Alligator mississippiensis: one gene and its partners. The protein of the gene in region 1 interacts with the protein of each later gene in a pairwise test. Links are inferred from orthologs where the notes say so. Each region holds a gene or a part of one and is shown on either strand. Other genes may lie near its edges. The genes, in order: CEP126, HMOX2 and YAE1.

What was found.
Region 2: the proteins of CEP126 (region 1) and HMOX2 interact in a two-hybrid assay, tested with the Homo sapiens proteins (2 studies listed by BioGRID and IntAct). The link is inferred for Alligator mississippiensis from reciprocal best matches to the Homo sapiens genes CEP126 and HMOX2.
Region 3: the proteins of CEP126 (region 1) and YAE1 interact in a two-hybrid assay, tested with the Homo sapiens proteins (2 studies listed by BioGRID and IntAct). The link is inferred for Alligator mississippiensis from reciprocal best matches to the Homo sapiens genes CEP126 and YAE1.

The regions. Positions count from the first base shown.
Region 1 is NC_081824.1:442,060,812-442,071,167, forward strand, and holds the start of CEP126 (centrosomal protein of 126 kDa), read right to left. Parts: upstream 3,882-10,356; 5' UTR 3,742-3,881; coding exon 3,683-3,741; intron 2,228-3,682; coding exon 2,108-2,227; intron 1-2,107. UniProt on the Homo sapiens protein: Participates in cytokinesis. Necessary for microtubules and mitotic spindle organization. Involved in primary cilium formation.
Region 2 is NC_081836.1:23,782,565-23,793,073, forward strand, and holds the start of HMOX2 (heme oxygenase 2), read right to left. Parts: upstream 3,853-10,509; 5' UTR 3,744-3,852; intron 1-3,743.
Region 3 is NC_081828.1:124,880,784-124,890,445, forward strand, and holds the start of YAE1 (protein YAE1 homolog), read right to left. Parts: upstream 4,662-9,662; 5' UTR 4,521-4,661; exon of another isoform or gene 4,305-4,520; intron 4,225-4,304; exon of another isoform or gene 4,161-4,224; intron 4,060-4,160; 5' UTR 4,046-4,059; coding exon 3,929-4,045; intron 1,328-3,928; coding exon 1,206-1,327; intron 1-1,205. UniProt on the Homo sapiens protein: The complex LTO1:YAE1 functions as a target specific adapter that probably recruits apo-ABCE1 to the cytosolic iron-sulfur protein assembly (CIA) complex machinery. May be required for biogenesis of the large ribosomal subunit and initiation of translation.

The DNA of each region.
Region 1 (10,356 bases):
TTTATTAAAGAGGCCATCCTTAATGGACTGGCCGACGCCAACATCTTAAGGGATAGCCAGCATGGGTTTGTTGCGGGTAGGTCTTGCTTGACCAATCTCATTTCCTTCTACGACCAGGTGACCTATCACCTGGACAAGGGAGATGAGATTGATGTCATATATCTTGACTTCAAAAAAGCCTTCGATCTGGTGTCCCATGATCGTCTCTTGGAGAAACTGGCCAATTGTCGCCTTGGGTCCTCCACGATCCACTGGCTGGAAAATTGGCTCCAGGGTCGGACCCAGAGGGTAGTAATTGATGGAAGTCACTCATCGTGGTGTCCTGTGACCAGTGGGGTCCCCCAGGGCTCTGTCCTTGGACCCATACCGTTCAACATCTTCATTAATGATGTGGACACTGGAGTCAGAAGCGGACTGGCCAAGTTCGCAGATGACACCAAACTTTGGGGCAAAGCATCCACACCAGAAGACAGGCGGATGATCCAGGCTGACCTGGACAGGCTCAGCAAGTGGGCGGAAGAGAATCTGATGGTGTTCAACGCCGATAAATGCAAGGTTCTCCACCTTGGGAAAAAAAACCTGCAGCATCCTTATAGGCTCGGCAGTGCTATGTTGGCTAGCACTATGGAAGAAAGAGACTTGGGGGTCATCATTGACCACAAGATGAACATGAGCCTGCAATGCGATGCTGCGGCTAGTAAAGCGACCAAAACGCTAGCTTGCATCCATAGATGCTTCTCAAGCAAATCCCGGGTCGTCATTCTCCCCCTGTACTCGGCCTTAGTGAGGCCGCAGCTGGAGTACTGCATCCAGTTTTGGGCTCCACAATTCAAAAAGGATGTGGAGAAGCTTGAGAGAGTCCAGAGAAGAGCCACGTGCATGATCAGAGGTCAGGGAAGCAGACCCTACGATGACAGGCTGAGAGCCCTGGGGCTCTTTAGCCTGGAAAAGCGCAGGCTCAGGGGTGATCTGATGGCCACCTACAAGTTTATCAGGGGTGATCACCAGTATCTGGGGGAATGTTTGTTCACCAGAGCGCCCCAAGGGATGACGAGGTCGAATGGTCACAAACTACTACAAGATCGTTTCAGGCTGGACATAAGGAAGAATTTCTTTACTGTCAGAGCCCCCAAGGTCTGGAACAGCCTGCCACCGGAGGTCGTTCAAGCGCCTTCATTGAACACCTTCAAGATGAAACTGGATACTTATCTTGCTGGGATCCTATGACCCCAGCTGACTTCCTGCCCTTTGGGCGGGGGGCTGGACTCGATGATCTTCCGAGGTCCCTTCCAGCCCTAATGTCTATGAAATGTCTATGAAAAGGATGAGATTATGCTGTTTATCAAATTACTAAACTGCACAGCTGCAGCAGCAGTACTGTAACAGAAAACTAAATTGGTGTCTTATCTTTCAATTGAGGTTTAGTTTATTATTCTTTCCCAAAGGTCACTGCTCAGATTATCTGTTTGACCACTCATAGCCAGCTCTACGACCTTTGCAGTTTTTCTTTACATTTTTAAATATTTGACCTCAATCACTTACACAATGTGTAATGATGACATTTAAAGAAACTGCGACTCTGTCAAATAACTTTGTGTTCAAGAATACAGCTTATTTTTTTAAGCTATATCTACCATTTCCCTTATGAATTACTGACAGAACTCAGTATTTCACACAGCATCACATAAATCACCTATGCCATTTAGTACTGTGGCACTTAAATGAATGATTCAAGATATATAATTGAAACATTATGGTGAAATAGTAGAATATTCATAAGCACCTTTTCAAATATTCTCTCAAGAGGCCTTCATTACTACCTATTTCGGTATAAAAAGGGCTCAATCCCGTATTTGTTGCCTACCCAAAGCTCCCACTCATTGGGAACACAAGGAATGAAAATCAGACCCACAAGTAAATTGTGATAAACAAAGCTAGCTACTATGGGTTTTTAAAATAATGAGCAACTCTGGACTGTACTCACACAGTTCTTTTTATATTTTGGATGTCCTATAGCAACCAAAATTAATGAACCCTTAAACTCTGGATTCCCTTGGAATGAAGCAGTGCTATTATTTAAGTCCATAAGTTATTAAGATGAGGTTACCTTCTTCTTCTATTTGTCTCTATAAAATATTTTCGTGCCCGACTTCGATATATTTTTTGATCCTCCAGTAATGCTTGACGCTCTTCTTCTAAATCTCTTCCAAGATGAAACATTACGGTTCTATTAATATTTAGTTAAGGAAGTTGTAGCTAAAATCTTGGAAACTCCTAGTCATTATTCTTACTATGTACTAGACTGATTAAAAAACAAGCTGTAATTCTCAGGTATAGACTAAAAATAGGATTCTTTCTGTTTGCATGGATTTCATTGAAGGACTGGTGCTTTATTACGTACCTTTTTGAGAAGTAAATTGTATTCATGAGCAACAGAATGTGGATATAGAAAAGGTATTATCACAATGTACACGCATAAAGAGTGTAATTCCATCTCTCAGCTTCTATGACCGTAACAAGTTGCTGGGGCTTTACACTTATCATTTAGTTAAAGTGCCCCATGCCACCATTTTGAAGAGCGAAGACACTCAATACATGAGATGCCAAGGCTGCTGGAGCATGCTAATTAGCCCACTCTAGTAGATTTGATTAATCTGCTGTAATTACAGTGCGTCTGAACAGACATGTCTATATACCTCTTACTGTTTAATCTCATCTTTACATTCTAGATAATGAAACACTTGGGTCAGGAATGAAGAGTTTTTCTGAATCTTGTTCACAATAGAAACAACAAGAGCAAATAAACTATAATGTAAAAATCACACAATGTCCTTATGATCCAACACTACAACAAAGGTTATATTAAAAGTCCCAGGACTAGAGAGATTAGAGTAGGGAAACAAATATAAGCTTTTTAAATCAGGCATATTTGGTAGTACTAAACAAGTGCACGCAGCAGCATCGGGACAAGCAAAGGGTACATACAAAGAGCATATCCTGCCATCTAATCCCGTTCAGAGCTCAGCAATACAAATGCTGAGACATGCCAGCACCTGAGCTGCATGTCACCGCCACCACACGTGGGTACGCATTAGCAGTACAGCAACAGCAAAGTATTTCTCCAGCACGGCCAGCGTAATTCCCGGACCGTCGCAGCTACAACCGTCCTCTAAAAGTCCCCAAGCTTCTTCAGTTCTCTACTGTACAGAGAGTAACTCTGTGAACATCGCCAGGGGTCTGCAAGGCGTGAATCCTCCCAGCCTCACCTACCAGGGCAGGAAGCCAGGTCACCCTGTGAAGATGTGGCCCTCACTGGCCTGGCCCAGTGCTATACCCCCGTGAGCTCAGTACTACCTACAACACGCAACAATATTCCAGCGGGGGAACTGAACAGTCCCTCCGTTTTAAGCAGTAAGGAGCGCAGCAGCGCCCAGGGCCGGATGGGCAGCGCCCGCTCTGCCTGGGGGCCGGATCTGGTGGGTGCCCCGAGTGGGGGTATGGCTTGGCCTGTGGGAGAAAGGGGACTCGGCCTGGCTGCAACCTGCGCAGGGATTAGGAGCACCTGTTGGAGGTCGAGCAGGGCCCTGCCCCTGCCCCGACGGCCAGTCCCGTGCAGCCGCTTGCCCCCCGGGGAACCCCCTCCCCCCGAGCCCGCCCCATTCCCCCGGCCCGCAGAGGATACGCGTGGGCGGCGGAGGGGCCGCATTGGGCCTCCGCTGCGAGGCTCCTGCTGGGCTTCATCACCCGCGAGCGGTCGCTGCCTTCCCCGTCCGCACTGCCGGCCCGGCGGGCGCCCCAAGGGCGCAGGCCCCTGCGCCGGCCGCCGCCGCCATCGCCATCCCGGCAACAGGCGACGCCGCTGCCTTCGCAACGGGAACCAGGGGCGGGGCCTGGGGCCGGGCGCGGCAGCCGCGCATGCGCGGTGGGGCGGCGGGCAAGTGCTGGGGGAGCGAGCTGGGCGCGGGGCTCCTGCCTGGCGCAGCGCCGGGGACAGAGGGATGGCGGGCCCGGGGCGCGCGGGGGCACGAGGCAGAGCAGCAGGTCGGGCGGGGGAAGGGAGTGGGAGCGGCGGCCCGCCCGAAAGGTGGATCGGATCCTCTCTTGAGCTCCTTGCGACCCTAGGAGCCCCCAGGGATCCTGGCTGCCATTCCCAGCAGGCCAAAAACGTATTCGTGCCCCCCAGTTTATGTAGTGGTTGGCGTGGATAGGGAGCCGTGTCATTTGGCATAAATGGGGAGCTGTGTCTTGGTTGGCGAGGATGGGTTGGCATGGATGGGGGGCCTTGTCTTGGTTGGTGGGGATGGGTTGTCATGGATGGGGGGGCCGTGTCTTGGTTGGCGTGATTAGGGAGCTGTGTCTTGGTTGGCGTGGATAGGGAGCCGTGTCTTTGGGCTTTGGGTGCAGAGGAGTGCGAGGTGAACCGCTGCTGCTATAGCTCCATTATTTAGGGACAGGCCTGTTTACTACTTTCATGGGATTGTGCACCCCTGAAAGGCCATGGAGAAAATAACTAAACAAACAAAAAGAAGGCGGGTTGGGAGCAAGGTTGCAGTTTCAGAAGCAGGGATCCAGAAGGGGACCTGGAGCAGAGTGCACTGTCCAGCACCCACTGCCCCCTGAAAGAGACAACGGAGCCTGCAGACACCAACTAGCAAAACTCCTCGTGGAGATGTGTGTGAAGGAGTGAGAGGAAGACAGACAACCTCACGCTCATCCAGGTTCCCCATGGTCAGAGCCTCCTTCATGGTCTGCTCGATGGCCAGCTTAACCAGAGCCAGAAGGAGGGTTGGCCAGGAGGTCCTGGAGCTTGGTGGGGCTATGGATGGGGAGGATATAACAGAGAATGTGCGGGAAGAAGAGCAGCCATAGCAGGAGGTTTTAGTGGAAGCAGAAAAGGGACTGCAACCTGGGGTACTGGAGGTAGGCGTGTGCCAGTGTCTGCCTCTTTTGGCAGAAGTGTCAGGGGTGTCCCTAAAGCACGCCACATATATGCCCCTGTTGACCGCTTAAAGGAGGAGCTGCCAGCTGAGGTCTCTGAGGAACTGAAGTAGTTCTTGGGATTCCTTTAGGGCAGGGGTGGGAATGATTTTGGGCAGAGGGCCACTTAGTGAGTTTTGGCAAGGCATTGAGGGCCACATGACAGGCAGCCAGGGGCAGATAAATATTAACTTTTTAAATTTTTAGGTGCCCCACAGGCCGGATAGAATAGCCTGGTGGGCCGCATCTGGCCCATGGGCCGCAGTTTGCCCACCCCTTCTTTAGGGACAGGAAGCAGGCTACTCTCAGCTTTCCAGCAACACAAAAAGAATAGGGAAATGACCCAGATCATCTAGTAATAACTGGTGTACTGAACCAAGGATGTTAGACATAGTCTGTGGGCTGGATCTGGTCTGCAGCATATTCTGGCTGTCTGGTCCCTGGTGATGTCCCCTGGGTCTGATCAGACCGATACAGGACGTGGCATGGGACCCTCTCCCCTTACCCCAACATACCTGATCTGGAAGTTGCTTCAGCTAGTCTCGGACCTATACTGTGTGCAGCGTGGATCCTGGTGTGTACATGCAGGGCAGGTCCCTGACCAGCTGAAGTGGGTACTGCGTGTGGTGCAGTCTGGCTGGGGTGGCCACTGTGTGTCATTTCAGCCAGACTGCACTGCATGCAGCGCCCATTCCAGTCACTCCAAAATCTGTGCAGCATGCAGTATGGGTCCCAGACAGGCTGGAGCAATCACCAGATTGGGTATACTGGGGGAGAGGGATGGGGTACCTGGGACAAATATGTCCTGCGGACCAGTCCTATGCCAGTCATCTGGTCTGCAGGGCAGGGTGAGTTTGACATCCCTACTGTAAGTGATGAGGGACAAGTCGCCACAAGATTTTAATGTAGGGGCTACCTTGTAAGAAATAATAGTGTTTGCTTCATTGCTCACTTTTATGAAAGGAGCCTACAAGATAGTTTCATAGTTGTAGGGTCGGAAGGGACCTGAGCAGATCATCAAGTCCAACCCCCTGCCATGGGCAAGAAAAAATGCTGGGGTCAAATGACGCCGGCTAGGTGATTATCCAGCCTCCTTTTGAAGACCCCCAGGGTAGGGGCAAGCACCACTTCCCTTGGAAGTTGGTTCCAGATCCTAGTCGCCCTGACTGTGAAGTAGCACCTCCTGATATCTAGCCTGAATCTGCTCTCCATCAATTTATGGCTGTTATTCCTTGTTACTCCCAGTAGTGCTCAGGGGAACAGGGACTCTCCCATTGCCTGCTGGTCTCCCTTGGCCAGTTTATAGACGGCCACCAGATCCCCTCTCAGCCTTCTCTTGTGGAGGCTGACCAGGTTCAGGTCCCTTAACCTCTCGTAGGGCCTGCCCTGCTGCCCCCTGATCATGTGAGTGGCCCTCCTCTGGACCTTCTTGATGCTGTCCGCATCCCTCCTGAAGTGCAGCACCCAGAACTGAACGCAGTACTCCAACTGGGGCCTGACCAGTGTCGCATAGAGGGGGAGGATCACCTCCTTGGACCTGCTCATGATGCATCTGTAGATGCATGACAAGGTGTGGTTAGCCTTCCCGACTGCATCCCCACATTGGCGGCCCATGTTCATCTTGGAGTCTATAATGACTCCAAGATCCTTTTCTGCCTCTGTGCTGATGAGAAGGGAGTTCCCCAGCCTGTAGGTGTGCTGCTGATTCTTTCTCCTTGGGTACAGTACCCTGCACTTTTCAGTATTGAATCCCATCTTATTCTCATCCGCCCACTCCTGTAACCTGTCCAGGTCCAATTGCAGCCTGTACCTCCTTTCTAGTGTGCTGACTTCTCCCCACATCTTAGTGTCATCTGCAAATTTGAACAAGGTGCTTTTCACCCCCTTGTCCAAGTTGCTGATGAAGATGTTGAACAGTGCGGGCCCGAGGACTGAGCCCTGGGGGACCCCACTGCCCACATCCCTCCAGGTCAAAAATGACCCGTCCACCACCACTCTGTGGGTGCGGCCCTCCAGCCAATTGGTGACCCATCTGACTAGGCATCGACACCACAATCTCCTCATTTTTTAATGAGAGTGGAGTGAGAGACAGTGTTGAAGGCCTTCCTAAAGTCTAGAAAGACTACGCCTACCGCAACACCTGCGTCCAAGGTTTTTGTGACCTGGTAAAGATTCGGTTGATATAATCTGATCATATCAAACTTGACAGATTTTATTAGGTTCTAATTGTTAAAACTGAAGGATCGTACATTTTACAATTAGTTTTGTTTCTTTCAAAATAAACAATTTCAACGATTGTTAATAATGGGATGCTGATGGCAACTGGTGTCATTAAAATAGATAGCACTTCTCTTTTTAACTTGTTTTTGATTGCTTAGAACTTCAACTTTACCAACCCCTAATCATACAGGTTAAATACTTTCATTTGTGTGTTCTTTCTCAGATTTATTTATTTGCTTTCAACAAAAATGATTCATCTTTGTTTTAGAATGAAGTTAAGGGAAAACAGTGTTAAAACTGCTAAACCATTTTTCTGACTGTTTGAGGAAAAGTGTCTCAGACTTTTTATCAGCAACTTAACATTTGTCGAGAGAGGCTCTATTCCTGTTTCCATAAAAACCCAGCCAGGGATTGTGGCTCCAGTCATGAATACAGGCAAAATGAATCATCTTTCCTTTAATCCTGGAATTTCCTAACCTCTTAGTGTTTTATTTTGTAATGTTAATGATGTTTTCATTAACTTGTCTTTTACATGTAATACGTTAGAAATATCAGATAATTAAAGTACATTTGTGACTGAATGTCTTTGTAATGCATATGTACTGACAAGCATATCTTGAATGACTGCCAACTGATTATTGAACTGTTGTTAATTGATGAGCTTTATTTTTCAATGTTTCTTAGTCTGAAACAGGGCATTGGGTGTTTTGCCTGAGTGAAGAGTAAAGATCAATTCCTAATCATTCATGGGCTAGATCAAGGCACCCTAGAGTGCCTTGAGATCCTTTCAGGTGTCCTGTGGGATTTACAGCGATGATCCGTCAGGATTGAGGATGACCACTCCCATGGATCAACTAAAGGATTGTAGATAAGTCAGTTTGGCTAAGATCCCTAGAGTCACAGACTGGCAAATGCCACAGGCGGTGGTTACAAGGAGGGTCAAACCATGGATTTCTTGGTCTTGTTTCCTTTCCTTCCATTTCTGTTGTTTATCTGTCTCCAGGGCAAGATGGTTTTCCTCAAAGTAAGCCACATAGACCTGTCCCAGGCTAGTTTTTCCCAATTTGTGGTGTCAATGCCACCCTTCTTAATGTTTGCCTTGAGGGTGTCCTTGAAGCATTTCCTCTGGCCCCCATGTGTCCTTTGTCCTTGCCTGAGTAGGAAGCATAGCAGTTGTTTCAGCGAACGTACATCAGACATGCGCACACAGTGCCCTGCCCACCACAACTGATGTTGAATAATCAACACGTCCATACTGGTGGCATTGTCATCGGTGAGGACACTGGTGTGATGATCCTCCTACTTTATGCCAAGGATCTCCCACTGGTGATAGCACTCCAGGCTTTTCAGGTGTTCCCTGTAGGTCACCCAAGCTTCACAGCTGGGTGGGATTCAGTACAATGTTAGCAGTATTAGGTGTGTAAAACATGATTCACAAGATAAACCTAGAGATTTTAAATAGGAACCCGCTGCGTTAAAAGCATTCTGACCTTTTGTGGTCTTTCTGAGTTCTTAGCAACAGGAGAATTGCTCTATTATTTTTCTGCAGTCTAAAATCAAATGCAAACTAAGAGCTGACATTTTCCAATGGGAGTCTTGACTATAGTGAGAGGAGCCTCAAGTCTAAAATGTTGAGAACCATTGAGCTAGATTATAGGTTTGTTGCCCTGCCCTGCCCTACAAGAGCAGGCCACTTTTCTGTTTTTGCCAGGGAATTAATCTGCTATGGCCCTTCATCGTGTTGCAGTACTTCTCTGTGAGTTCCACTCGGCCATGCTGCATGGAATGAGGAATGGCAGACTCAAGGATCTGACTCGTTCCTTTTTCACCTGTGTGCACGTGTCAGGATTGGGATGTGAGCTGAATCCAGGGCTACAGCTTGAATCCAGGTGCTGAAATCATGATCAGGGACAGGCCAAGGTCCAGAAGCCAGGGTTAGGAAGTCACAGGTCACACTTGGCCAGGATCAGAGTGAAGAATGATCCCCGGGTCAGAAGCTGAGGGTTACAATTGGGAGGAAACCCAAAGTTGGAATCTGACACAGTTACCAGAAGAGCAGGGGCCAGCGTCAAGGCCAGGTACTAGGATCAGAGTAGTCTCTGACCTGCTGGTTTTAAGGCTGGTATTAGGGAGGAATTGGTCTCCTGTCATCACTGTCTAAGTAATGATTGCCCACCAGAGGGATGACTCATCCTGAGCTTGAATCATGATTCATACAGCATGGAAGGAGGCACCACATGGTTTCTGCAGGCAGCTAGCACACTTCCACGTGCTTGACTAAAATACGAACAAAAAAGTTATTGGTGTCTTTCAGTGTCATATAGAGATGCTGTGAAACCATTTATAACAATTGAAGGTCTCATTTTGGGTGATACTGAATATTCCAAGCTGCCGTTGACTTAGATGAGCATCCACAACTCTCATGTAAGATTCAGTTTCCAAATCCAGGTACTTTTTGGGTGTGAAATTTTTATAGAGCTTATAATTAAGGCTTCATGCTTTTAAGTGTTCATTTTTTCCTGTTTTTCAGGTTTTTACATATACTATGACCATATAGCAAAGGGAAAATACTTTTTTTCTTAAACTATTTTAAAAGTTGGCCCACTCTCATTCGCTTTATTCCTAGAGATATGTCAAACTGAGCTTGAGAGATCTCTAAAATCTATTACTGGCCTCTAAAAAAATTTCAACATAGCACAGATGAATTACTTTTTATAGACACATAGTCTCAGACCTTTTTTTTTTTTTTTAAAACCACAGTGTGTAGTTATCATTTTTAAGTTAAAACCAGAAACCTACATATTCTGGAAGTGCTTCTTCAGCACTGCTGGTACAACAATACAGTAGTTTCATTTTCAAGGTAAACACATTTAAAATGATTAAGATGCAGATTAACTATTTTTTAACCAACCTGATCCACTCAGTTCATGTTCAAATGGTAACATATATCAAGACCTAGCACAATCTAATTAAACTAAAGTGTTAATATATTTAGTTCTGTGTTATGGGGTAATATGAAGTACTTGCTTGCAGGGTGAAAACAATGAATTATATGAGATGCAACAATCTGTTGTGTAAATAAAATATGTTTTATTAAATCCAGGCATAAAAGGATACATGTGTTGGCTGCTGTTTATGCTGTAAGCATTCCCAAATACT
Region 2 (10,509 bases), on another chromosome or scaffold:
TGACCAGTCAGAAAGCTGGTAGTGCCTCTAGTGTCTAAGCAGTTCTTCTCACACCAATACACCACTAAATCAGGCCAATTTAATTACTCCTTCCAACAGTTCTCGGAAATAAGCAAGTATTCTAATGGTCTAAAAGGAACAAACAGGTTAGTGATTTGCCAAAGGCCATACAGCAAATGTGTCAGAGCAGGAACTGAACATTTGCTGTATGGCCAAATAACAGGATTACTGTTTTGAGCCTCTGGTAACTTTGGCCAATCCCACAGAGGACCAAAACTCAGATCTAACCCCACTGTTCGAAAGCATACGAGCAAAGAGGAGCATGGAAGAAATATGCTCCTGGGCACTTGTGTTGCTAAACAGATTCTGACAAGTGGGGGGATGTTTTATTTTTTAGGCTCAACAATTTCAAACCTAAACTTCTTTATTCTTTGTATGACATCAGACTTAGATGTCACCAGCAGGTGAATCAGTGACAGCAAGTTCAACCCCAACAGCAGTGGGTATAGTTCTTGTCATCCATTTGCATCACCACAAGAGGACAAAGGCCCTCAGTGGTGTTACTGGTATTTATTTCTACCTTATAGCTGCATCTGAGTCATTCTCAGAATTTGCTTCAATTAGCTGCAAATCTCAGCCAAGTCCCTGAAGAAAAAAGAAAGTACACTTGGGTCTCTCTTTATGTGAATTCGTTTTGTGCAAATTCACTTATATGCGACAACCTTATTTATACCAGAAATTTGCTTTGTGAGAAAAATCCAATATTATGCGAAGTCAGCTGGCAATGAGCAGTCCCATCCTGCAGAGCTGGAAGGAAGCAGGAGGGAGGGGAGACAGGGGGCGCCATGTGCACGTAAAAAAAAAAAAAAAATGTATCCGCCTACTTTGGACACTGGAAGTACATGCACATGGCCCCTAGTCTTGAGGGCAGCTCCAGCAGGTAAGTGGGGAAGAGGGGGATTGAGGCCCCTGTAGGGAGTGAGCTGGGCAGGCCTGAGGTTGCTGTCCAGCTTGGGGGTGCTTGCAGCATGGGGCAAGCACCTTTTCCACACAGCCCCATTGTGGCGGAAGGCAGCAAGCAGCTGGATGCTTGGCTCTGTGCCGCTCCACCCGGCTCTGTGCTGCTGCTGCTCTGCCCCATGCCACAGGGCCCCCCCAAAGTGCGGGCCCGGGGCACTCACTCCGATTCCCACCTCCCTGGGGACGGCCCTGGTGATTACTGTTTGAATTGGTTATGTTTTGGGGGAGCAGTAGAGTGAGGCTGGTACGTATCCCTATTAATTATATGTAATAATGGATTCGCTTTATGCAAGGTATTTTTGGAATGCAACGCTCGCATAAAGAGAGACCCAAGTGTACCAACTGGAGCTGACAAAGGTATTGTTTCTTATTTTTTACTTTTAGTCCATGCTATTTTATCATCTCCCATTATGAAGGAAGTGAAGGGGTCAGTGATTCAGTAGATGAGGACTTGGCTTCTGCTCTTCCTTCACCGAGTTCACTTCCATGGACTAAGTCCACCTTTACACCCTCCCACCCCCTCATCCAAAGCCTTGATAATCTTAGCTAGAAGACAGCACAGGAAATCACCCTATTTTCCCCAAAGAGAAATTACTGCAACAACTTTCCCCCCGCAACATTTAGAAATTCCTAATAATCTTCTCCCATGGAACACAGTTCCTTACTTGTCAGTTCTCCAATTTGAAGCTCTGCCACGCAGAGATGTGGGGCAGAAAATTTTCCAGTGCTTTATTTTACCATGGAAAACTTTCCATTTCTAAAAATTCATTGTTTCATAAAATTCATTAGTAACAATGAATGGATGCCAATACAATATTAGGCAAGCTTAGCAGTTTCAAAGATGTAATTAATGTTTTTCAGGCGATTATCCCCAGGAAGTGTGAGAGAGAGTACATACATGTTTAATTGATTTGTAAACAGGAGGGTAAATACACTCACATAAGCCAAACCAAAAATCAAGGTATGAATTCACCTAATCAGCTGTGCAGGTCAAATCAAAACCACAGCACAGCATATCATGCACAGTTCTTTGGGTGTGCTCAAATTAGTGTGTCAACAGTTTTCAATGCCTTTTTTCCTTAAATTTAAACAAACAATGTCAGGGAAGCACATGCTATTGTGTATTGTCTTTACATTGTTGCTAGTATTGCAATAAAAATAATTTCTTTCTACATGAAGCTTTGAATTTGTTTGAATATAACATTTAAACCATATTAAGTGCACTATATTCAATTCTTTTCTTAATCAAATATTTCAGTTTAAATACTTGTGGCTATTGGGACATAAAATTAAAATGGGGTACTTTTTTAGTTTTGTTTACTAAATACACGTCAAATAAACATGCTAAATCAGATCACACTCTATTTAGGGCATTGGAAATTTTCCAATTCAAAATTTTCTGGAAAACCCACATCTCTGCTGTCATGTAGCAAGAAACCTTATATGCATTCAAATCCATTTTATGCTGCAGTACACAAGTTAACACTGAACTGGACCCAGTGATAAGTGTCAGTTCTCAACAAGGAAAGGGGAATAAAAGTTCCAATACAATATGCACAAAGAACAGTTCACAAAAATGGGCTCTCACTCGTAGTGTAGCCACAGGTTGGCTGTCTTTTAACATATTCATGCTAATACAAGAGCTTTGTATGGACAGCAGTAATGACAGTCATCGTAACAGCTACAATCAAGCACCCGCACAATAAGAAGAGGCCCAAATTTCAGTGGCAGGTAAAAAAAAAAGTTAGACTTCTGATTTCACCGGCAGGCCAACTGGAGTTCTTTAAACAATAATGATCAATGAGTAGGCCATGCATGACCACCAGTGAGGCTGGCCAACTCCTCATGTTTGGAATAAAAAATGGGGAAACAGGGCCCCACTACACATGCAGGTATAGACACAACTGGATCTAATGCAGGATCCACCCCATAGTGCATCGCACATTAGATCCAATCACACCTTATTGCTGGTATAGGGACAACTGGATCCTGGGCTCCTCCAACATCAGTACAAAGCAGGCTTCCATGGCTGGGAGTCCGCTTTGCTGATGGGGCTCCCAGCTACAGGGACCCCACACAGCTGGGACTGAGAGTCCTAGGTCTGATGGGGCTCTCAGTACAGTTGCATGTGGGGTGCAGCCGGGACTAAGAGCCCCGTCAGCTGCAGCCCTGGTGCCCCACAGCTGGGGGGTCACAATGGCGGGGAGATCGCGGGAGCTACAGTCTCCCAGCTGCTACCTGGAGCACCCCGCACCCCCGCAGCTCGGGGACCACGTTGGCTGCACCGTGCTGTGCTGCGCGGGCTGCCCAGCAGCTGGGAGCTGGCAGGGCCTGCGCCGAAGCTGGAGAGAAACCAGCTATAAAGTCATTACACATGTTCGAGCAATCACAGCGAAGGCGCAGAGGAGCCGGCCGGCCGGCCGGACACGGCCAGCTCCAGGCTGAAGGGCAGGGGAAGGGAAGAGCTGGGACCAGGCCCGAGGCCCGGCACAGCCGGCAGCGCCGGGCCGAGCCGAGCCGCGGGCGCTGCAAAGGGACCGGCCGCAGCACTGGGGCCCCCGCCGGGACGGTCGGAGCGGACCACGGGGCGGCTACACGGCGCCCGGCCGCGCCGGCTCCTGGAAGAGCGGCAGCCCCCGCCCCGCGCCCAACCCGCGGGTCGTGCGGCCCCGGCCCCGGCCCCGGCCCCGGCCCCGGCTCCCCTGAGCCTCCGCAGCACTCACCGCCGCTAGCGCAAGCGCCACCGCCCCCAGCGCGGCCGGAAGAGGCGGGACACGCGCCAGTCACCGCCGCGATTAGTTATCGCGAAGGGGCGAAGCCGCAGCGAACTCGTGAGTAAATAAAATGGCTGCGCCGACGAGGCCTCCCATTGGTAGCTGGAGCCGTGACGCAACAGAACCGGGTCCTGACGATGACCCCGGGCCGTAGAGCCTCACCCCCGTCTCATCCACGTGCCAGTGCACGTGCTCCCTCAGCGCGCGCCACCACCTCCCCGCCCGCTGGGGGCGGAGCGCCAAGTCCCGGCCCGAGGGGCCTTGCCCTCACACGGACCGAAACCAGTTGATAAAGTGCGGGGGACGAAGTCCCTGCTGGGCCCACTTCTCCCGTTTCTGCCCTTTACAGACGCAAGCACACGTGGCGTTAATCCAGGGAGAAACCATTTTATCTCAGGACAAAGTGACATGGCCAGGCAGACGGTTGTCTCTGTTGTCCTGGGATAAATCCTAAAAAAGGTTCCCCAGGAGATAAGAGTTGGTCAGAGTTTATCCCAGGATAACAGCATTGAATCAATGGCCGAAAAGCAGCAGTGCAGTCAGCGGCTCACCAAACCCTGGTTAGAAGGGTGATGTGTGTCCCAACCATCCCAAGAGATTTTTTTTATTCCTGGACAAACACAGGGTCGACTTGGACACAGACCAGGATTTGCTTTTTTGCTATCTTGTACACACACTGTCTGAGTGACACCAGCTGGGTTCTGTGGTATTTCTTATTCTGGGTTACATGTTGCTCCCTCAGGACCAAGTTGCTGCTCTGATGAGCTGCATGAAAAAACCCTGTGAACACAGACTGATTGGAGCACCTACCCTGGGCATGGGAACAGTGTGCCTGCCTGCCACAGTTTTCCTGTAAATGCAGAGCATGGCAGTTAACCCTCCAAGAGTGTCCTGTGCCCTCCAAGTCCAGTTCAAAACCTAGAAACTAAGGAAAGCTGGAGAAAGGAATCATCAAAGGTAGGCTGAGCAAATCCTCCACTTCTTCTGCTGTCTATCACAAAACAGAAGTAAAGCGGTAATTTGATTTGTGCAGCTCAGTTCTGAGACACTGCCAGTCACCCTGTAATGGTGAGACAGGGTGATGGTCTGCCTTCTGCAAGTAGGAAGAGCAAGCGCACAGTGTCCCTTTTGGTAGGGAAGAGATAGGACTTAAAAGTTCTGGAAAATTTCCTGGCAGATAGGAGTGACATTGGAAATAGGACTGGCACACTCCCCATGCCTCATGCCCTCATACATTAGATACAGAAACAGCTTCATTCCATTTCTTAGGAGTTCACAGACCAAGAATGCTATAAATGTCAATGTGGTTGACATTTAAAGCATTGAGCAAATAAATGCCAGCTCCTTGGTATAATGATCTGAAGTTAAGGTTTTTAAATAAAGTTGATTTGTGAATTTCTAAATAAAAAAAGCCTTTTTTATTAAAACTCAGTGCTTCATAATAATGACGCCCAGTGAAACCCACGCATCCACTCAAAACAGATTATCCAATCACATTTCCTCTAAATTTTCACTAGAAGAAAAATGTTCATTTGCAGCCCTTGCAGTAAAGATAACCTTCCAAGCAGGAGCCAGTAGTAAGTGACACTGAGTAGTCACAGGAGCTGTACAGAGGGCCACCAGAATAAACAGGCAGAATCTCCTTTCACTGCTCACTCCCCTCCTGGGCTTATCATCTTTATCACTCATTGCCAGTAGGGCTGTGGGAAATTTCACTGATTGTTTCGTTTCAACGCTGTTTCGACTTTTTTCAAGCTCAAAATAGCAAAATTGAAATGAAAGTCTTCGAAACAGCCTTGAAACAAAACGAGGGCACTTGAAATGTTTCAAGTTTCAAAGCTAGGCTTGCTTGCAGGGAAACAGAAACTAAGGAGTGGGAGGGGGAAGAGGGAAGGACTGCTCTGATATTGACTATGTAGCTGACCAGTGACTGTGATCCTTCCCTGAGGTCCCTTCCAATCCCAGTGCTCTGGGGGAGGGACAGAAAAACAGCTGCACCTTAACACACACGCACAGTCACAAGTCACAGGTTTTGCTTGTCAGCGGCTTGAGGTGCAGTTTCCCAGAAGCCCCTGCACCCTTCTCCTTGAAACTTGGCAGGCTCCGTGCCCTCAGCAGGGGCTACCATGCCTGCAGTTTTCACCTTGCTGTGCCTGAACACACACACGTGATAGAAGTCTTGCTTTCAAGACGTTGAGGTGCAGTTTCCCAGAAATCCCTGCACCTATCTCCTTGAAACTTGGCCGGCTTCAAAACGGGTTACCATCCCTGCAGGTTTCATCCAAATCAGGCCAGAAATGACAAAGTTGTAGGCTGTTCGAGCCTTCCCCATTATAGCCTATGGGCGAAACATCAAAACAGCGAAACAATTTCAACGAAACAAAGTGGAACAGTACCTTCGAAATGAAATGAAACAGCAAAATGGAAGTCAAAATGAAATGGTGCAGTTTCACACAGCTCTGCCAGTAAGTACTCTGGCAGTAGAGTTTGGTGCACACTGCCATCTGGTTGCCCTTACTGGTTAGATTACTTGAATTTTGATAATTGGGTCAACGTTTATGAACTAAAAAGGCTACTAAATGTCTGAAAGCACTGGGCCTGGATAACATCCATCCCGAACAATTCACTCATGTCAATTCAACTGTCTTAGACTGGCTATGTCATTTTATGACTAACTGCCTGTGACAGCCAGAACCAGAGGGATTAATAGCAATAATATGTGCTTGGAGGCATTTGGTATTTTGCCTAAACAGGTAATATTAGTTAATATAAGCTTGTAAGTTTGTAAACTGCAAATGTAACTTGTCTGTCATAAGTTTAACCAAAATGATAAATTAACTGTTCATGGAACTGACTGGGCCCCATAGGCAAAGCTGTAGCTGTGAGATTAGCTGGCCTAACGGTTTTTTGCTCAGGGTTCAGCCTTAGCAATAAAAACTGGATCTAACTGCTTTGCACACCCAACACGTTCCAAGAAAGCATATCCCAAGAAAGTATATTCAAATGAAGCCTAAAAGGGGTTGGGATTTAGGCGGAGTGATGTCAGTTTCAAACCTAAAGGTGCTGCATCATAATTTGCTTATTGGATAAACCCGAGTCTGGGTAGTAACCTTTTATGATAATTTTAACACCTTTCAATCCCATAGGGTAACAGCTATAGGGCGACATTGTGAATGGCCCTGAGGCCAACAGATTAATATAAGACTAGGTATAAAAAGCACATGCATCAGGTAACTAGCAGGAAGGAGGGAACAGAACGGTCATTTCTGTTCCATGCTCAGACCCCAGACGCCCGGTGTGAGTGAGGATTGGATCCTGATCAAGGGACCTTCCCCGGTAATCCCTCTAACAGCGTCAATCGTCAGGGACGCCTGACTTCGCTGGAATCACTTGGCACGCACCTGGCATTGAGGGACTGTCGATAAGTTGCCAACCCATGTGTGCCCGCCTCTGCTCTATCAGGTGTTCTCTTGCAGCCTTAGCCCGGACCATCAATCTTGTCTGTCCCAGGCCTGCGAGTGGACCCCAAAGGCTACCCCGGCTGACGTCCGGGGATCCCCTTAACTTGCCTGCCACGACTTTGAATGGAACCTCAGTGGAGGGGTTCCCCTTTGAGGCAGCCTCCAGGGTCGTCACGCCTCTCAGCGGGCATTCACAGGGCTCCGACCTCCCCTACACCCCGGCCACTTGCCACCTTTGGTTGCAGGTCTTCTGGCCCTTTGGCGTCCCTGGTTCCTCTCGGTTTCTTCCCCAGCCTTCCGTGGCTCTCCAGCCATGAGCCCCAGTGTCCCTGGGCTGCAGCTCAGGCGTGAAAGCTCTGAGGCCCTTGGTCCTAGATTTGGCTATCCTGTGTCCCCAGCTCCCTATTCCAACCACACCGTGACGCAACGTGCGATCCCCACCACCATGACTGCCGAAGAGCTGTGACCGGCGGGCCAGGAGGCCACAAAGGAATATAGAGTGCCCCTTAGTCTACGGGCCCTGTGTTTTCCCAGTGCCTCAGTGCCCCAGACCCGGTTGCTTGCCCCACTCGGGGCTCCTATCTCTCCCCTGCGCTTGACCCTGTCACAACCCAATTAAGCAGTGTCCATGCCACTAGCAAGAGATACCATTCAAAGCATTTTCACTCTGCACTGGAGTCAACTAAGGGTTAAAAAAGAAATTCTTGTTGGTAACAGCCTTCTTCGCTGTGCATGCCAACAAGAGATTTATAGCTGCGCCACTAATAAGAAATTAAACTTTAGCCTTCTGTGCTGTACATAAATCATTATAACTGGTCAGAGTAAAACAGGGAGTAGCCCTGCAACAAAACCCTAGAGGAGATCGTTATATAATTGGCGATTCTAATTAAATTTATGACGTGGCGAAAAACACTTGGCTATTACACAAATAAAACCCGCTTGCACTTCAGCAAAATCGGAGACCTCTGAACACGTCACAGAGTAAATTGATGAGCTGATCATTCATCAATCTCCCTGCTGCGACCTCCTAGGCGTACCCTTCACCTGCATGCTTGATAAGCCATAATCTGCCGACCACCGGCCCGTATATATCTGCAGACCGACCTAATGAACTCTAAGCTGTAACTAACTAAGTATCTCTGACCTCCGTCATTCACCACCTTGACAGCGTAAGTAAACAATCTTGCTTTGCAACCGATAAGCGTCCGTGCCTAATTCCACTCCAAGCGTCACAAGTACCCACCTGCTGGGCCCCTAAGGCCCCGGACCCCTCGCTGCAGTGCACGGCAGCAACAGATCCTACTCCGGGGATGGCGTCCCGGTTGACCAAGGTCCTATGGGTCCTGGCCAACTCTTCTTGGGGATGCTGTGGACCCATCTGTTGGCTCCCTTACTCCGTTAACCGTCCCTGCTTGGGGTCTTCCACCGCTCACTCAGCGGCTATCCCAGTTGGGGTTCCCATTGGCTCCGCCCTCATTACCTCTTCTTCTGGCTTCCCTGTAGTTGCTCCGACTTCCCCGGCACTCGTCTCCTCTTCTCTCCCCACTCACCGCTGCTCCTTTTGTCAGCTTCCCTGCCGGCTCTTCTGCCGGCCTCTCTGTCAGCTCCTCTGCTGGCTAGCCAGTTGGCTTCCCTGCCAGCTCCTCTGCCGGCTTGCCAGTCGGCTTCCCTGCCGGCTTGCCAGTTGGCTCCTCTGCTGGCTTCTTTGCCGGTGCCTCCACTGCCGGCTCCGCTACCGGCTTCTCTGCCAGCTTCTCTGCTGGCGCCTCCACCGGCTCCGCTCCTGGCTTCTCTGCTGGCTTCTCTGCTGGCTCTGCCCCCATCATCCCGAGCTGCGCAACACAGCAGCTGTGCCTTTTGGGCTGTGGACTTCTCCGTGGAGCCTCTGCTCACCGGCATTTTTCCTGTGCCCTCGGGGCAGCCTTTTGTTTCTGCTGGGTGGTGTCTCCAGCTGACGTCACCCGGCCCCAGCTGGATATGAGCACGGTTGACAAACCGCGTGGGCGGTTTCTCCGCGCATGCTTCCCCACTCCTTTCGGCCCCTGTAGATGGTAAGTTGGGGCTTTCTTCTATTTTGGCCTGGGGTTCTCCTGTAACCCCAGCACCCCTGGGACACCATGTCTGTCTATTTGTTGTTGTGAACAGCCCAGTGTGGCTAATACCCTCACAGTGCCCAGTTGGCCTGCAACAGATTGATCTATCTATTTGTTGTTGTTATCTGTTGTTATTATTTACTATTAGCTCTTTTATACTGTATTATCTGCTTATTGCATTTATCTTCCTGTTAACTGTTGTGTGTATGTAAGCTATAATAAATTTGCCTTTATTTCACTCCCAACTTTGCCTCCTTGATGCGAAACTGAATCAAACAGCCCAGTTGGCCTGTGATAAAATTGATACACTCACAGTGCCCAGCTGGCCTGTGACAAAATTGGCATCACGAACAGGATCAAGGATGGAGAGTACAGAGCGGAAGAATGGTGCAGAGGGGGCAGAGAGGTGGACCCTACTGATTGCTTTGATAGAAGAGGTTATGGGTATTAAGAATCCAGGGTGGGATAAAGAGAGGTTAAGACCCACCTGGAGCGATCCCACCACAGTTCCCTGTCAGTGGGCTGCGTTCACTGTTGTGCAGAAGGGGAAACCTAAGAAGGGATGCCTGTCTTGGCGGCTGGCAACCTGCCTAAGACTGGGAGCAGAGGAAGGCACTTGCTCCATCAAGAGAACCAATCCTTAAAAGACCGAGTGACCCAGCTTGAGAGGGAATTAAGGGAAGAAAAGGATTCTAGAAATGTCACGTGTGCGGCTGCCAGAGCAGCTCAAGATCGACTAGAGATACTAGAGCATCGGGAGGGAAAGTTACTAGTCACACGGGCAATCACCTCCCTTGAGCAGAAGGTGCAAGTGGCATGATCAGTCGAACCTTCCCCTGAAAAGGTTCAGCAATGTCTTTATGGCAAAATTCCAAAAACTGAGCTGTGGGATGACCCAGACAGTGAGGATCTGTATGGTGAAATTGCAGTAGCTAAGCCAGGAGATGATGAGTATGTGAGGCTTACAGAAGAAGCCTGCGAGATCCCACCTCCTTATGCCCCACCAGCCCGAGATAATTTAGGAGGAGAGTTAGCCCAAACCTTCCCAGTAGTGGTGACCCATGCAGGGCCACAAGGGGGCAATCTCCGGACACAGACACGGTCGTTTACTTGCACAGAAATCCAAGAATTACAAAAACAAAATAAGGCCAAACCCGGGGA
Region 3 (9,662 bases), on another chromosome or scaffold:
TTCCCTTTGAAGCCCCTGTCAGAATAAGAAGGAAAACACCTACTTTTAAAATGTTACTCTGTGGCTTCATTTTGAGAAAGGCCTTGCTAGCTGTGGTATCAACAGTTCAACAATATTTTGTATACTCAGTGACAGAAATTCAGGCATCTTGGGCAGAGATGTCAAACTCCCCTGTGGTCCTGGGTTGGATCTGGACTACAGGTGCATGAGGGCTGCTGCAGTGGTTTAGGGACTAGTGTCAACACAGGGTCCAGTGACAGTGGCAAGAGGTCCAGGAGAGCGAGTCCAGGGGTGCTGGCAGTGAGACAAGCTTACTCCCAAAGGCCATGCCCAGTAAGGCAAAGAGACTCTAGATTTTATAGCAGGCCATGCCCCCTCAACTTCAAAGTGGAAAAAGACTGTAATTAGTGGTTAGGGATCTCTCCAGCATGGTGAGATAGTTTTAATTCCTAGTGTCTGCTCCAAGGATTAATTCTATAGTAACCAATGTTTGTTTAAAGCAAAAATATAAGTTCCTGAAGCATGGACCAGAAACTTAGGGTTCTCCTTCCCAAGTGAGTGCTCTAACTGCTTGGATGCAGAGTCATGCTTCCTCCCACTTAGGCCCAGTAACTCTCTTGTGCACAATGGAACAGCTTCAACAGGACTAGGGAGAAAATCCACCACCCAAAAAAGTTTGAAGCCTGATTATTAGAGGTGGAAGATGTGGGTTTGGACCTAGAACTCCTGCTTCCTGGGCAAGTGCTCTGTCCAATAGGACATTACACAGTGTGATGAGCATAGGCACCATCACCACTCAGTTTATGGAAAGGAAAAAATATAGACACCTGGGTTTTGTTTTTTTTTTTAGGAAAGTATACCAACTATGGATCCCAAGTGAATGGCAAAGCCTCCCTGCAGTTCTGACCTAACCCCAAAAGGTGGGATTTTAGATTTTCTCCCTGTCTTCAGTGTCTCTTCTTTGCTACCTCTAGACAGCTGGAGCATGCTGGCCGTTTTGGATCACATACTGAGATGCCAACGTCTCTACATGCATTGTATAGGGAGCACCTAGATGCCTAGCACAGAAGTCTAGATTTCTCTCAAGTTGTGCTGCCCAACTTTTAAGCACTTCTGTCTTTCACTGACCCAAGCGCCAAACCACTTAGAACTGGAATAATAGTACAGCTAGAAATTCAAAAAGAGATCATGGTCTCAAAACTTACTTTAGAATTCCTTTGAACTGGCCACAGGTCCTCATCATCTTGGCCCCTTCTCTGTATCCCTGATTGAAGCCCTGCTGGAGTGCACATTCTTTTCCAGCCTCAACTCCATCTCTGTAGCCTTCCTGTAAGGAAGGTGACAAGAAAGGAAGTTACTTGTGGGAAGAATTACAACTTCCAAGTCAAGTATTTTACAAGCACCGTGAAAGCACAAGCATAAGAAGCATTCAGTTTTTCAGAAGTTAGCTTTCTAATTTGGCTAGATGTATGCAATTCTTGCCAAGTGGAAAAGAGAGATTCCAGGAAAAGTTTTGGATTGTCATAAGAATGAGTCACAAAGCTGGTAGTGTGGATAGCCTCTTGCCAGAATCAGAGACAGTGAGATCAGGAAACAGTGGTAGCATACTTCACATCTGCTTGTTTATGCTACAGTAGATTGATTAGAGACAGGCAAAATAGCTAAATTATTATATATTGGTTGCTACGGGTATGACCTGTCATTGATGTCAACAGCATGTTATGCTTAAAAAAAAATAGTAAAGGGTGGGCCTTGTCTCTCAATTACCAGTGTCTAACACCTTCATGAAACAACTTCTTTATGAATCAGCATTTTACAACACTTAACCTTTTACATTTTCAGTTTACTATATAAATTGTCATTATACACAACCCCTGTGAGAGAGATGTCTATTATTTTATAAAAGTAGATGAGAGAGTGAGATTAAGTTACTTGCCCAAGGCCACAAAGAAGGTCAGTGGCAAAGCTACAAATCGAGGTTAGAAGACTTTTCAAGCCCACCACACCTCTCGGTTCCCACCTTTTTAAAGACAGAATGCAGCAGATATTTAGCAACAATTCTGCTATGACGGTGTTCCCTATCAAAAAGGTGAATGATCACATGACTGATTTTGCATATTTTTGCCACTAAGCATGTGTGTGTGTCTGTTGATGCACTGGAATTTGTAAGCAGAAAGCCCATGAGTATTTGAAGGAATAGATTTACGTACAATTATGCAGCAAGAGTCCATCATTATAAACTGTAACTGAATAGTGAATGTGTATGAATATTTAATCTGGGGTAGAGTTAAGCATTCAGGATTGTGGTTATAAATTTTTGGATTTTCAGGAATACTCAGACAGTCTCTTAATAAAAGAATCTCAAATATGTTCCACTTGGCATCATTTCATTAATTCTGTTCAGTTTTCAAGTCACTCAGAAGAAACTGAACCATCATGATCTTTACTAAGGCTGTGCGAAACTGCGGTAGCCAATTTGATTCGGAGGAGATCTGGCCTGATTTGGCGGCCAAATCTCCAAATTGAATCAGGACACCATTAAAAGGTCCAAATTGAATCGGAAGCCTCTGATTCAATCCAGCGCCAATTCGGAGAGTAAACAGGCAGCAGTCCTCTACCACACTGGACACAGCTGCTTCCAGCTGGTAAGTCTGTTGTGATGGGCAGAGGGGGGAGGAAAGGAGCATGGGGTGGGGGGCATATCAACGCCCCCACAGCGAGGGAGAGATTGGGGCTGGGACAAGCTGTCCAGCCAGGGTAAGGGGGCGGGAGTCTCCTGCCACTGGACACCATTGGTCTGGGAGGGCATGGGAGCGGGCGTGTGCCCCTGGATCTGCGTGGGGTAGGCTGGGCCGGGCTGCGCTCCAGGAGGCTAGCTCCAGCTGTCTGCTGCCAGGCTGCACTCTGTGGGGTAGGTAGGGCCTGGGCGGTGCTCCTGGCACCTAGCCCCAGCCTCAGTCCAGAGTGCAGCCCTGGCTCCGCCCACCCCACAGAGCGCAGAGAAGTAGGGGCTATGGGGGGGGCTGCAGCAACCCTAAAATTCCCCACAGCCCCTGCCGCTGGCCCCTCCTCAATCCGGGTCCACTCGCCCACCCCAATGCACTGTTGCTGCTTGCCCAGCCGAGGCATGGCGGGGTGAAGCTGCGGCTTGTCCAGGTGGCACACGGAGGCTGCAACAGCTTCTGCCACTGCACACTACTTGTCCGAGGCAGTGCAGTGGCATGGTCCTGTGCCTCCCCGCCCCGGCTGGGCGAGCAGCAGGAGGGCATAGCCCCCACTCCCAGTGCCTTCTGCCTGGAGCAAGCTGCACCTGCATTGCACGCCCCCCTGGCTGGACTAGCGGCGGCAAGGCAGAGCCCCTGCTCCCAGTGCCTTCTGCCCAGAGTGAGCCGCACCTCCATCATGCCCCCCACCCCCCGGCTGGGCAAACAGCAGCAGGGCATAGCTCCTGCTCCAAGTGCTGCCACTCCCACATCCTGCACTTCCCCTGCCCCGACTGGGCAGCTTGTCCCAGCCCCAGCTCCAGTCCCAGCCCCAACCCCAATCCCCACCTTGCTGTGGGGGCACTGATCTACATGCCCCCCACCCTGCCCCTTCTTTCCCACCTCTGCCCACCACAACGGACTTATCAGCTGGAAGCAGCTGTGGCCAGCATGGTCGAGGACTGCTGCCTGTTTAGTCTACGGTTGAATCTCTGAATTGTCGCCCAATCTTTGGATCCAATTCGGCCGAATTGAATCAGGACAGCAACTCGAATCACCGTCCCTCTGAATTGGCTGAATCCGAATCGAATACCTGCTGCTTCGCACAGGCCTAATTTGTAAGCAGCCATTCTCACTTTTGCTTATTTAAACAAGCATTATTTAAGCAGTAGGAAAGAAAACGGCTAAAAGGCTACTGAAAACATCATGACGGTGATAAAGATTACCTTGATCCTTTTCTCCATGGTGCTCTTCCACTCTTTTTGTACGAGGTGCATCTCATCAGCATCTTCATCGAATACATCCTCTCTGGGCCTGCTGACTGCAGCTTGTACCCAGGACATGGTAGCAGGAGCTCCTAGGAACACCACAGGTACAGTCAGATGCCAAACAGAGCTTCCACCCCAGCACTAAGTCAGAACCCCAGGCAGGAAGGGCAGGTTTTTGAGGAAAGCTAACCTCAGAAACCAGTAATCCCAATTTCAGGTTTACTTTCACATTGCATCAAGATGCCAGGCAATGTCTGTCAAAGGAAGCAAGGCAGATTGTGTCAAAGAAAACTACGTTGTGCATCTCAATTTGTTGGCTTTTGCCAGCACTTACCCCGTCTCCAGCTCCTCTGAAACAACACCCGAGTCCTCAATACTATTTGTGCCCGTTTTGGGGACCAAAACACAACCTCAAGCTCTAATCCTGCCAAGACTGGTGTCCTTAACTTTGTGTGCAATAAGTAGACCGATTGACTTCACGGTGCTGGACAGTTATATTTAACTGAATAGCGGCGGGACTGGGTGCTCGGCTCCTAACGAGGAGTTTTACCCCAAGCAGTTTCCTGGCGGTGGTATCAAGCGGGGCCCGGCGGCTCGCTGGGTCCTTCAGGAAGGAGGGGGCCGCGCTCAAACCCCGCCCCTCTTCCCGGGCCGTCGGAAACAGCACGCAAAGGGGGCGGGGCCTATGCCTCCGGCCCCGCCCCCTGCTCCGAGGTGCGCGCGCGCCTTAGCACTCACGTGGGGACGGCTCAGGCGCTCGCGGCCCCGCCTCTTCCGCGGGCGGGGCCGGGAGTGGGCTGGGCCCAGCCGCACGGGGAGGGCGGCATCTCCCAGTCCAGCCCCGCCCCCAGGGGGAAGCAGGCACCCTCCCGCATGTAGCGCCGCGCAGGGCGGGGCCTGGGAGAGAGGGCGGGACAAGTGCTGGAGTGGCTGTTGAACCCCGGCCTGGCTCGGGAGAAGGCGTCCCTGCCTGCAGCTTGCTGGGCAGGCTGCGAACGGGGGCGCTGTCTTCAGAGCCCCGGGCCTGAGGCAGCTGCATGCGCGCCTCGGGGGGAGGGGCTGGGGCAGCATCGCGCGGCTCCTGCGCCGCCCTCCGCCTGGACGCGCCGTCTACCACGACCCGGCGGGTCCCTTGTCCCCGTCTGTGCTCTCCGCACCCGCCCCGGGCCGGGAGACTCAGAGGCGGGGCAGAAGGGGGCGGATGTGACGTGCCCTCAGGACAGCTGGGAGGAGGCGGGACAGACACTCGTCCGCCCCGAGCAGTGAGCACCCCGCTTGTAAGAGAGGCAGTGGCTGTAGGCAGGTTTTTTTAGGAAAGTCTACCCGCTATGGATCCCGAGTGAATAGCAGCCTCCGTGCAGTTCTGACCTAACCCCAAAAGGTGGGATTTTAGATTTTCTCCCTGTCTTCAGTGTCTCTTCTTTGCTACCTCTAGACAGCTGGAGCATGCTGGCCGTTTTGGATCACATACTGAGATGCCAACGTCTCTACATGCATTGTATAGGGAGCACCTAGGTGCCTAGCACAGAAGTCTAGATTTCTCTCAGGTTGTGCTGCCCAACTTTTAAGCACAACCTGAGAGAGTTTGGCACTTGGGTCTTTCACTGACCCAAGTGCCAAACCACTTAGCACTGGAATAATAGTACAGCTAGAATTTCAAAAAGAGATCATGGTCTCAAAACTTACTTTAGAATTCCTTTGAACTGGCCACAGGTCCTCATCATCTTGGCCCCTTCTCTGTATCCCTGATTGAAGCCCTGCTGGAGTGCACATTCTTTTCCAGCCTCAACTCCATCTCTGTAGCCTTCCTGTAAGGAAGGTGACAAGAAAGGAAGTTACTTGTGGGAAGAATTACAACTCCCAAATCAAGTATTTTACAAGCACTGTAAAAGCGCAAGCCTAAAGAAGCATTCGGTTTTTCAGAAATTAGCTTTCTAATTTGGCTAGATGTATGCAATTCTTGCCAAGTAGAAAAGAGAGATTCCAGGAAAAGTTTTGGATTGTCATAAGAACGAGTCACAAAGCTGGTGGTGTTGATAGCATCTTACCAGAATCAGAGACAGTGAGATCAGGAAACAGTGGTAGCATACTTCACATCTGCTTGTTTATGCTACAGTAGGTTGATTAGAGACAGGCAAAATAGCTAAATTATTATATATTGGTTGCTAGGAGTATGATCTGTCATTGATGTCAACAGTATGTTATGCTTTAAAAAAAAGGGGTAAAAGGTGGCCATTGTCTCTCACCAGTGTTTTATCACCTTCATGAAACAACATCCTTACGAATCAGCATTTAACAACACTTAACGCTTTACATGTTCAGTTTACTATTCAAACTAATTGGCAATATACAACAGCCTTGTGAGAGAGATGTTTATTTAGAAAAAAAGAAGAGAGTGGCATGAAGTTACTTGCTAGGGGGTGCAGGGACCCTGCCCCCAGCTGCACCCAGCCTCCAGTTATATGAGGTAGGCACGTGGCTCTGGGCGGCAGTTCACTCAGTAGCCTGTTGCTACTAGTGCTGATTTCTGTGGGGATGAAAGGAAGGGGTTGCCTGGTCTGAGAGACCAGTTTGTGTATATGTGTGTGTGTAGCGTGCAAGGCAGATATTGTAATAGGTCCAGGTGGCCAACGGTCCTTTGTATGTGTGTGGTTTTTGTAACGGGTTAAGGTTTTCTTTGTGGAGTGATACTCGGAGTATAGATATGTATAACCTCATATACATATAGACATATATTTTTACAAAAAACAATTCTGCAAACAGAGTTTAAGATTGCATATTATGCCATTTTATTTTGCTTTGTTAAATTATTGCAGACTTAGTTTTTGCTCTCGCTCAAGCCAGTTTGTACTGTTTAGTTTGTTTTGTTCTATTCAACGGATTCATATTCAGCTTTTGCTCTCTCTGCACACGAATCAGCTTTATTTTGCTCTGTTAAATGGATTCATATTCAGTTTCTGCTCTCTCAAGTCAGTTCACATGAATCAGTTTATTTTGCTCTGTTATTTTGATTCATATTCAGCTTTTGCTCTCTCTGCACATGAATCAGCTTATTTTGCTCTGTTAAATGGACTTATATACAGCTTTTGCTCTCTCTCAAGCCACTTCACATGAATCAGTTTATTTTGCTCTGAAAATAATTTCTTATTCAGTTTTTCATTCTCTTAAACCAGTTCATATTTTTCAGGTTTTTACTTTATTAAAACTGTTTGTATTCTGTTTATCTTGATCTCTCTGCTTTGCGTTCCTTGATTTAAACACTACATATTGCTCATTTGTGTGTGTGTGTTTTCTGCACTTCGATTGCCTTCTTGGAAATACTTACCCAGATTTACATGTACTTCAAATAATTCAGTTCTTTCTGATTTTCTCCTTTCTGTTTGCCTGTTTAAATTGTTTGTGCTGCCTTCGGTTTGTGTGAACTTCAGGAAATTTTACAGGTAGAAGGCATATCAATATATAACTATGGATAGTAAAAAAACAAAGTTTGGAAAGGCAAGTGTTTTACAGATGGAGACAACTTAAAGGATTCTTTCTTAAAACGTGCTGAGGATTTTGCCAATAAGACATCATTGCTCATACTGGTGAAATGCCGCTGTCATCCAGGACTGTTCAAAGGCTAAAATAGATGAAATGGCAACTAATGTTAGGGAACAAGTGACTCGAGACCTCCATGCTTGTGATGCGATGAGCCTTGCACTGGGTGAAAGTTTATGTCTATAAACGATATCCGGCATCTTGCTATAATTGTTTGATATTTTGTCTCTGGGGAAGTTGGGAGGAATTGTTTTCTTTGCATGCTATGCAAAGCACAACAAAGACCAATGTTATACTTAATGTTGTCAAAGTTATTTTCACACTGCAACAAACTGACCTGCACAAAGTGTTCTCTGTTACCACTGATGGTGCACCTGCTATGGTGGGTAAAGCAGTTGGATTTGTAAAGCTTCTGGAAACTTAGATTGGACATCCTCTTATAAGTTTCCATTGTATTATTCATCAGGAGAGCCTGTGCGCTAAGATTTCATCTTCTGATTTAAATGAAATCATGACAGTGGTGTGAAAATGTCAGCTTTTTGATTGCCCGCTCCTCTTTGACACACAGGGGATTCCGTGAACTTTTAAATGATGTGGATTCTGCATATGGAGATTTAGTGCTGCACAGTAATGTACACTGGTTGAGTCGAGGTAACATGCTCAAGCGATTTGTTGCTTGTCTCGAATCCACCTAGTTATTTCTTGAAAAAAGTGGTCAGCAATATGCAGACCTTACTGATGACAGGTGGCTAACAAAACTGATGTTTTTGACAGACATCACATCACATTTAGATTATTTGAATACTAGGTTACAAGGAACACAGAAAACCATCCTTCAGCTGTCTGACGACTGGAAAGCTTTCTGTGATAAGATGTCTGTTTTCAGATGAGATATCGAAACGTCTGCCTTCTGTTACTACCCCAGTCTGAAAATCCATTCCGAGCAGCATCAATTGAATAATAGGAATATGTGCAACTACATAGGACAGCTGGAAGATGTGTACACCAGATGTTTCCAAGACTTTTGCAACAGAGGACTCATATTTTCATTTCTTGTGAACCTGGACAGTACTAGGGAAAGTGATATTGAACTGCGGTACTTTCAGTGGATGAACACTGAAGGATTTAAATTGGTACTCCTTGACTTTCAAAGCTCATGCATCTGGGCACTGAAGTTCACATCACTGCAAGGTAAATTTGAGAATGAAAGGGAATGGTAACTCAAGACTACATTATGTTGGTCTTCCCTTCCTGAAAAGTATGCATGAATAAATAAGTAGCTTTTGCCTTGCTGTCTGTCTTTGGATCTACTTATCGGTGTGAACACGTGTTTTCACAAATGAAAACCATACTCGGTCCTATGAGAAACCATCTGATGACTGACCATTTGGATACATGTTTGTGTTTAACAACCAGCTACCAGCCTAACATCACCAAACTCAGCTGTCAGAAGCAGGGCCAAGGCAGCCACTAAGAAAAGCTTTTTACTTGAGAGCATTTTTGCTTGTTTATGGCAGTGAATACAGAGCATCTATTTTAAGGAATTAAGTAAGTGTATCCTTAAAGAACCAACGTTTTCCATGGCAACATCTCTTTGGAGAGTATGGGCATGGTGTAGGGGTGGCATATGAAGACCCAGGATGTGATCTTCCAAGCCTCACTGTAAAGGCCAAGGACAATCAGGTGTCAACCCCTGTCTCTCTCTGTTCTTCCTACCATTTAAGGCCAAGGTACAGTGGGTGAAGGAACAGAAGACAGGAGTAGTGTTGGTAGGAGTGGGGTAGGACCCTGTGACCAAGGGCCTACTCTGCCCCCTGCCACAATATTAGCAGGTTTCTCTTTTCTCTCCCCCCTCTTTTTTCTTCCTCTCTCTCTTTTTCTCTCTCATCACAATATGTTTAAAAAAAGAATACACAACAACAAAGGTAGTATATGAAGTTTTATATATTGTCACCAGGTATAGAATTTTTAGAAAACCTGGCATTTACTGTAAAAAACAAACAACATCTATGATGATATGTGGACAAGCTTAAGAGAGTCCAAAGAAGAGTCTTAAAAAGCAAGCCATATGAGGAAAGGCTGAGGGATTTGGGACTCTTCGGCCTGAGAAAAAGAAGACTGAGAGAGCACCTGGTAGCAGTTCACCACTACATTA